2 linked regions of the Cricetulus griseus genome follow. The protein of the gene in region 1 interacts with the protein of each later gene in a pairwise test. Links are inferred from orthologs where the notes say so. Each region holds a gene or a part of one and is shown on either strand. Other genes may lie near its edges.

Region 1 (3,817 bases):
TCTTAGGACAGGTACTCCATGCTATTACCCAAAGCCCTTCCTGTTCACCGATTGAGGTTTTTAACTATTAATGTGAATTGCTTAGTAAAGCACTTGCCTAGAACAAGTGTATTAATACTGTGAATTGAGCTATGCTGATCTTGGGGACAGTTTCAGTTTCCTTACAGACCCCTGAGTTCTTGCAGAAAGTGAGGGCAGATAATCCTGAGGGTGGGCTGTATTGGCTCTGGCACTCTATACCCCCAAATAGTTTGGAACCATCAGAACCTACATCTGGTATGGTTCCTACATGTGGATCAGCACAAACCTGTGGTTAAAGCAACTACACATGTATGATTAGCAACTCTACCCCACTGGCAAATAACCAGCCATACCTGCCTCTTGGTCACTAGTTGGGTACTGTTGACAGCCACTGACCTACCCAAACCCTATAAAACAGTTGGTCCTGGTTGACTCTGGTCATTCATCTGTGCTGTGAGACTCAGTTCCCCAGGCAGGTACCAGTATAAAGGGACAGGATATAAGCAAGGCATTAGTCTGGGTACCAAAGACTGTGAGGCAGCTGATTGGCAGGCAGTCCCTATCCTCTGCTTAATAGTATAAATGCAAAAGAGGCACTGATGGTCAAAAGCCTTGGAGAAAGAGGTCCAAGAGAAAGCCAACTTCTCACTCCCTATCCTTTTGCCCCTCCTAGCTTCCTTGAAATGATGGAGGCTCGAAGTCGAGGCCATGCATCCCCTTTGGCGGCCAATGGGCAGAGTCCATCCTCAGGTTCCCAGTCTCCAGTTGTGCCTCCAAGTGCTGTATCCACAGGAAGCTCCAGCCCCAGCACTCCCCAGCCTGCCCCCCAGCTGTCCCTCAGTGTCTCCTCCACCTGTCCCCAAGCACCGTCTCCTGCACCCCCTTTGGAGGCTGTGCCCTCCTCTGTGCAGCCTTCAGCCCCAGCCCCAGCCCCAGCCCAGCGTCGCAGTATCATCTCTAGGCTGTTTGGGACCTCACCAGCTGCAGAAGTGTCCCCTTCACCTCCAGGTAGGCCTGGGAGCAGCCCTCTGAACATGTGAATTTGGAGCTAGCTTCTGGTATCTTGAGCCTCACATCCCTCAGAGACTGGAATGCGGTTCCTGTGTCCCTAATAAGCTCCTCCCTCATGGGCCAGCTGCTGCTGTTTGGACCTATGATCTTGAGTCAGGGTGCATGAATTGTCAAGTCCTAGTCCTACAGACTCAGTTTTGAAGCTTTCCTATCATGGGGCCACATAAGGAAGAAACGGCATTTCTCTACAGAGCCAGCTCCAGCCCTAGAGGCCCCAGCAAGAGTCCAGAATGTTGAGGATTTTGTCCCTGAAGATGGCCTTGATCGAAGCTTCCTGGAAGACACAACCCTGCCTAAAGACAAGAAGAAAATTGGAACCAAAGGCCCACAGCAGGATAGTGACAGGTAAAGATAGATTGATGGAGCTGAGCACAGGGTCTACCTCAAGGGACTGCCAACACAGCTTCCCCATCCCATTTATACCTGGATCTCCAAGACACTGCTGGGGATTGTGGAAAGCCTTTCTTTGTGCTTGCTGGGTTGGTGTCTAGCTTTAAGGAACGAAGGCTGAATTCTGACTGGAAAAACTGAGGGAAGGGCTGCTTAGATTAATCACTGCCACCCTGGGGTATGTAGATAGCCAGCTCACCATGGAGTGGGGCAGTTTATGCCCACAGCAGACTGGAGAACACTGGGCTGGAATCTTCCTAGGACAGCAAGAACCTTGGCAGATGGCCCAGCAGGGACAGAGGCACTCTGAATATATCCTAGCCCATTCTATGTGTAGGGCATAGGGAAGGCCACCTGGGTCTCTCCATATGGACCCAAACAAGCAAGCCTTGGCCAGGTGTGGCTTCCTGTAGCTACCCCTTCCCACAAACCCCATCTGTCTTCTAACAACACACTAAAACCTGTGTACAGCCAAGCTCTAAGATCACTCTCTCTTGCAGATCAAATGTTGAATGACTGTTAGCATCTCCAGCATCATCATGTTCAATGGAGCCAAGGGATTCCCTTCCAGAAACAAATAGATTCAAGGCTTCTAGCTGGGCTCCTCTCCCACTGATTCCCTCATTGGCCAGCAGCAAGGCAGTGTTGTCCTATTATTCCCACCTCTATTTAGCAGCCCCTGTGACAGCCCAGAAGGTCTTGTCAATAGAATATGGTACTGTAGACAGGGCAGCTCTCCAGGCAGTGGGGTAGGGAATCATAGCCCCCCTCGAACTTCTGATTGCCTTCCCCCTCTTTGCAGTGATGATGGGGAGGCCGTAGGAGGGAACCCAATGGTGGCTGGTTTCCAAGATGATGTGGACATAGAAGACCAGCCACATGGCAAATCCCTGCTGTCCTCAGACCCCATCCCCAGTAAGAACATCAGTCTTTCCAGTGAAGAGGAAGATGAAGGACTGGCAGGCCACCCCAGAGTGGCTCCTCAGCAGTGCTCAGAGCCTGAGACAAAACGGTATGGGCTAGGGTCCTCGGGGTATGGCCAGCTGAGATAGTGGCATCCTAGGGTGGCCTCAGAACTCCTGACATTTCTTCTTATGTGAAGGACTTCCACCAAGGCCTCACATCTACAAAAGAAGGGAGCTCCCACCCGAGCCATACCCTCATGGTCCGATGGTCTCACCACTGGCTCAGGGACTGACCTCGGCAGTACCAAGCCACCTACTGATGGCTCTCATAGACCTCAAGAAGGAAAGGACAAGCAGGTGTCGTCAGAAAGTGATCCTGAGGGGCCTATTGCTGCTCAGATGCTGTCCTTCGTCATGGATGACCCTGACTTTGAAAGTGATGAATCGGACACGCAGAGGAGAGTGGTAAGGACAGTGGGAAGCTCAGCCTCCATCCTTCCAGAGATAGAGGACAATCAAGGTTTGTTTCCCAGAGCAAGGTTTAAAGAGAGGCAGGAAGGAGAGTATTCCTGGCTCCAGTGCCCCAGAGACACAATCCCTTCTTAACATGTTTCTGAAGCCAGCTGGAGGAAGTGGACAGGAGTCCATGGGTGGGTGTCCATTGTCCACATGAAGGCCCTGCTGATCTGGGTCAGGTTAACCCCTTTCTACCCCACACCAGCCCCTAGGTTCCCAAAGGGACTTGCCATCTTGCTTCAACCCATGGCAGTTGTCAGGACAATAGGCCTACCAACTACACACTCTCTCTCTCTCTCTCTCTCTCTCTCTCTCTCTCTCTCTCTCTCTCTCTCTCTAGGGGGGTTTCCCAGTAAGAGAAGACCTCTCTGATGTGACCGATGAGGACACTGGCTCTGCCCAGCCACCCCTACCCTCCAAGCCCTCAGTCTCTGCTTTCAGACTGAAGAATGACTCAGATCTCTTTGGGCTGGGCCTGGAGGAGACAGGACCTAAGGAAAGCAGTGATGAAGGTAGGAGGGCCTGGAGCTTGTCCCTCTCCTTGGAGCCATGTACAACTTGGAGGTCCTTATCCTGTGGTAGTTCAGGGACCTGCGTTAAGAATTTTAGCCTGCCTACACATCATAGCTATTAGCTATAAGAGTCTCTAGAATGGGAGTAACTGTCACAACAGATGGCTTTGCCCAGACAAGCATATGCCCAAACCTAACATCTGCATTGTGGCCCAGAATTGCCATCCAAAACTGTCACCCTGTTCATGGTTCCCTATGTATCCCTCTCTGTGCCAACTGCTCTGCCAACATTCCAGGCCTTTGAAACAGAACTATTTCGGAAAAAAAAGATAGCTGCCTAGCAGATGTGCTTGGAACTGCAGCCCAGAGACAGCTCAGCCCCAAAAGGAGGGGAAGAAATTT
Region 2 (4,442 bases), on another chromosome or scaffold:
TATATGTTATCTTGAGTGTGTATATAATTATATTTTGTGATTTTTATACAATAAAATTGTCATGACATGCTACCTGCACCTCCCTCTTCCTTCATGTGTGCATATGTGTTCATTTAACATTCCAAAACATCCCATGGAGTAAACATTAGTTGTGTTTCAGAGATGAAGAATTACTGTCTCTTGATTTTAACTAACATATTCAGTGGCTTTTAGATGAATAATACAAATGAGATCCATGTTGTACAATGGTGGTTTTTTAACAAGGCTATATTGGCCCCCACAAATATGTAAAAGTCTAAATTTTAAGGTGATGCAATGTTATTTTAAGTTGTTTAATATCATTTGCATATGAGGTGTTTCAGAACATATAAAATTATGCTTATTAAGCAATGAGCTCTATATCCTGCAGTCTTCCAGGTTTTCATTCATGTCCTTGCATTTTGCAAACAAATAGCAGGCACTTGGAAAACTGTTGTTGAACAACACAGTTTACAGTTTAATTACCAGCAATCCAAGTACTGACTCCTGTCTCCTCATATTAACAATCTCAAGTATGTATTCAAACACACTCAGCTTTTGAGCACACTTTCATGTTAATGGCATTTAGCTCGGTTGTGACTAATGGGACTGGGATGGCACTCAGGCTCTGAGGGAGTCCACTCTGCTGTTTGTCAACTACTTGTAGTCATTCTCATGTTGACCTTCAGGGGACAAGCTAAGAGTGACCATAATAATTCCATATACTCTACAGCTGGAAAAGATCATGAGACCAATAGCTATGTGACAGAAAAGGGTTATCGCTTCTGGGATCGAATATTTATTTCATTGATGGAAAGGGATGTCCTTCAGGATATTACTTCACCTCACTTGACAACCCTATACTAAACAGTGACTACTCTGCCCATTTGGTAGCTGGAGTGATAGCCTTGCAGCAGCATCACCTGACCACACATTCATACAGGTACCAGATTTAAGTTATAGAAATCTTAAAATTACAACTATCACATGACTGTGCTTTCCTGACTGGTAAAAGTTCACAGCTTCATCAATGACTTGTCCAAGGTTTCATAGCTAGGAAAGACCAACAACTTTCTCCAAGTCTCATAAATGTCAAAGCTGTTGCCATGTTTGCCAGACCCTACCATGCTTAATGGCTTCACTGCTTTCAAAAGAAAACTATTTTCTCAGGAACCTAACCAAACCTGAATGTAGGTATCCCATGGCTTGCCTGTGTTTAATACCTTCCATTCAAGTAAAATAAACTGAGCTGGTAATTTCTTTTTGTTTCATAGCTAAGACAGGAAACTTGTGCTTAATCTCTTCTTCGAGAAGCTTAGTGTAAGTTAACAGTCCTCACTTATGCAACAGACAGAAAAAAAATACTCTTCACCTCAAATCACCTCCCTGTTAGTGAGAAGGGAAGCAGTAATTAACTGACAGGTGCTACAGCACCACTCAGGGTGTGACGTGCTTTGAGAGCTTCTTGGGCCCAACACTGACTTTGGATGATCTCACAGGAGAGGTGGAGAAACCAAAGCTTTCCATATAAATATGACCCCTCTCCTAGTGCACAGAACATTCAGCTTCAAGCCATTCTCACAACACTAACATCCTCATCTCATCCCTCTGCACCATGAAGCTCATTGGGGGCCTCCTTCTGCTCTTCACAGCAACCTATTTCTGCAACAGCTCAGGTAAGTTGGGTTACACAGGTCACATGTAGTCATGAAGGATTTTTCTTTTTTACAAACATTTTCTCCTAGATTCTAGGACATAAATATCTGATCAAGTGGATTTAAAGTGAGGAAGAGTTCTGGCTGGGGAGAAGGATCATGATTCTAGCTTTACTTTGAGGGAGTGGGATTTAGTGCCTTCCCTTGAGTGGATTCTTACTTGACACTCATGAACAAAAGGGTCCTAATTCCTTTACAAAGTCTGTTACATAAGGATATTTGCCCCTGGACCAGTTGATGGCTACTCCCCAGTGCAGAGATAGAGAGTCCTTAGGTGTCTTCATAGATCCATATAGGAGGATGGAAATAAACCATACTCCTCCAGAAGGCTCAAATTACTAATTCAGCTTTTAAATTGTGAAAAGAGGTTTAGTTAAAATACGTTTCTAACATGTTAAAGACATTCATTCACTTTTCTGTTTGCTGATTTGAGACAGGATTTTACTATGTGGTCCTAGCTGGACTGGAACTTGCTATGGAGACCAGGCTGTTCTTGGACGTGCAGAGATCTGCCTGCTTTTGCCTCCAGTGTACTTTGATTAAATGTGTGCACCCCCACATGTGGCCCTTTACATTTGTTTATGTTGATTAATAAAGAAAGTGTATCAGTGATAAGGATTCAGCAGCAATTGACTTTATTAAGTACACATAAGCTTCAGAAAGAACAAATAAATTTGCCTTCCTGATTCAAGAGCTTACCTATTGGCCATTCAAGTTCCTAAACAAACACCTGTGATTTTCCATAATGATGGAGTATACACTGAGATTCAATGCCAAAAGAAATGAAAAGTCTTTGGCTGAAAGATAAGACAACATTGATTAATGAAAGTTCCAGGTTTGCTTTATTTTTAATATTTCCATTGTATTTGTCTTCCAGAAGTTACCACTCACCCTTCACCAACAGTAAGTATGCTAAACAAAATTTTAATTTCAATTTATATTGGCTATTACTTAGTCAACAAATATACATAGCTCATGTCAAATGTTTAGAGAAATCAACAGAGGAGATAAACACAGATGGAGAAATGTTTTCCCCATTTGTAAATAGGCATGATAGTAGATCTTCTCTTATTCAAGTGTCCTAAATATTAAATAGTGGGAAATCATGTCACACTAAAGTTAATTGTCTGGTACAGAAATGCTCAGCGATTGCTCATCAAGTGTGGCATTTGAAAGAAGGAAGGGTTCTGGGACTACTGGTATTTATCATGATGGTGGAGTCACAATTTATAAAATATTGCTTCAACAGCATCAGAATACTTGAGATGAGAGCAACTTCACCTCTTGTAGCCTTTCTAGTTGATCCAAGATAGTTATACTTGAGGTATTTGAGAAAACCAGGACATTTTCTTGTGTCTAACCAGGTGGACTGTGACATATACAAGAAGTACCCAGTGGTAGCTATCCCCTGCCCCATTGAAAACACACCAGTTTGTGGTTCAGACTATATCACCTATGGGAATAAATGCAAGTTGTGTACAGAGATCTTGTGAGTATCAAATACAAAGAGTTTATCTGGGATGCTCCCTACTCAAATCCTTTCCCTTCCCAAGATCCCTCTTAACTCTTTATAGTCTACACATTTCCTTGCAGAATAGAGGGCAAGAAGAAAAAGCCAATTGTAGCTGAATCAGACTATGGGTGGGCCAGCTATTCTGCCAACTTGAACTGCTCCTATCCCACCACATATCTCTAATTATTGTAACTCTAGGAAGTCATGAGTTTTCAAACTCATATTTTGTAACCTAGAGTCAAGTCAGGAGTCACCAAATGGGTGAAAGTGGCCATTTGGAGTGGGCCCCAAACCAAAGTTGAAGTTTCACCATTTTAAAAAGTCAGTACATTTTGCCATAGTTCCTATTTGAAGAAAGGTTCCTAAATAATTGGAGAGCTGGAATCTATTATTGTACATGGTTTCTAAGGTACTAAATAACTTTAATGCATCTGGGCTTTATTCTCAAATCGCTATAGGCTCTAAGTAAGTATTAGTAGTTTTAAAGGATAATAGGCAATGAAAAGGATTGGTTTGCCTTTTTTCTAAAATAAAGGATACAGGCTGTTATTACTGAATCAAAAGTCCATGAACATGCTTTCTTTAGGTATTTTGTTTGGCCTGCACAGTATTTGGAAGAATAGTAATTAGGTAGATATCACCCTTTTAAAGTATAAGATGAAACTTAATTTACTATCTTATATCTAATTCACTTTTTATCATTGCTAATTATCTTATAGCCACCAGCATTGGGACACTTACGTCCTGTGTTCTCACCTTTGCTGTTATCTTAGCAAGTTAGAATAACAAGTTGAGCCTGAACCCATAGAATATGTGCACACACACATTTCTGTTTGGGAAGTTTCCTTTCATGGAAGGAAGTATTCTTTAGCACAGATGCATATGCAGCCCTAGACCAAGAAACTAGGCATAATCAAGGCCAGGAGCCCCTGAGAGAGAGAAATGATGGAAGTTTTCCTCAGTATTGCAGTATCCAGCTCCATCATTGTCCTCCTGACCAAGAAAAACAGAGACAGGCTACCTCAACTCCATTTGTGGAGTCTAATTTATTCTTCCAATAGAAGTAGAAGATTGGGATAGTTATCATTGAAGCAGTGAACCTCTCCTCTCTTGAAACAGCATGATGTTCTGGAACTCAGTCTTCCTTTCTGGAAATAGGTTCTACTCCACAGTCTTGTTCTTATCCACAAAATAGG

Evidence for each region.
Region 2: the proteins of Rabl6 (region 1) and Spink7 interact in binary tests that used the Homo sapiens proteins (3 or more experiments, as listed by UniProt). The link is inferred for Cricetulus griseus from reciprocal best matches to the Homo sapiens genes RABL6 and SPINK7.

Annotation. Positions count from the first base shown.
Region 1 is NC_048599.1:136,935,371-136,939,187, reverse strand, and holds part of Rabl6 (rab-like protein 6), read left to right. Parts: intron 1-694; coding exon 695-1,029; intron 1,030-1,283; coding exon 1,284-1,437; intron 1,438-2,284; coding exon 2,285-2,494; intron 2,495-2,584; coding exon 2,585-2,852; intron 2,853-3,243; coding exon 3,244-3,415; intron 3,416-3,817. UniProt on the Homo sapiens protein: May enhance cellular proliferation. May reduce growth inhibitory activity of CDKN2A.
Region 2 is NC_048595.1:176,492,254-176,496,695, forward strand, and holds the start of Spink7 (serine protease inhibitor Kazal-type 7), read left to right. Parts: upstream 1-1,633; coding exon 1,634-1,694; intron 1,695-2,610; coding exon 2,611-2,636; intron 2,637-3,097; coding exon 3,098-3,222; intron 3,223-4,442. UniProt on the Homo sapiens protein: Probable serine protease inhibitor.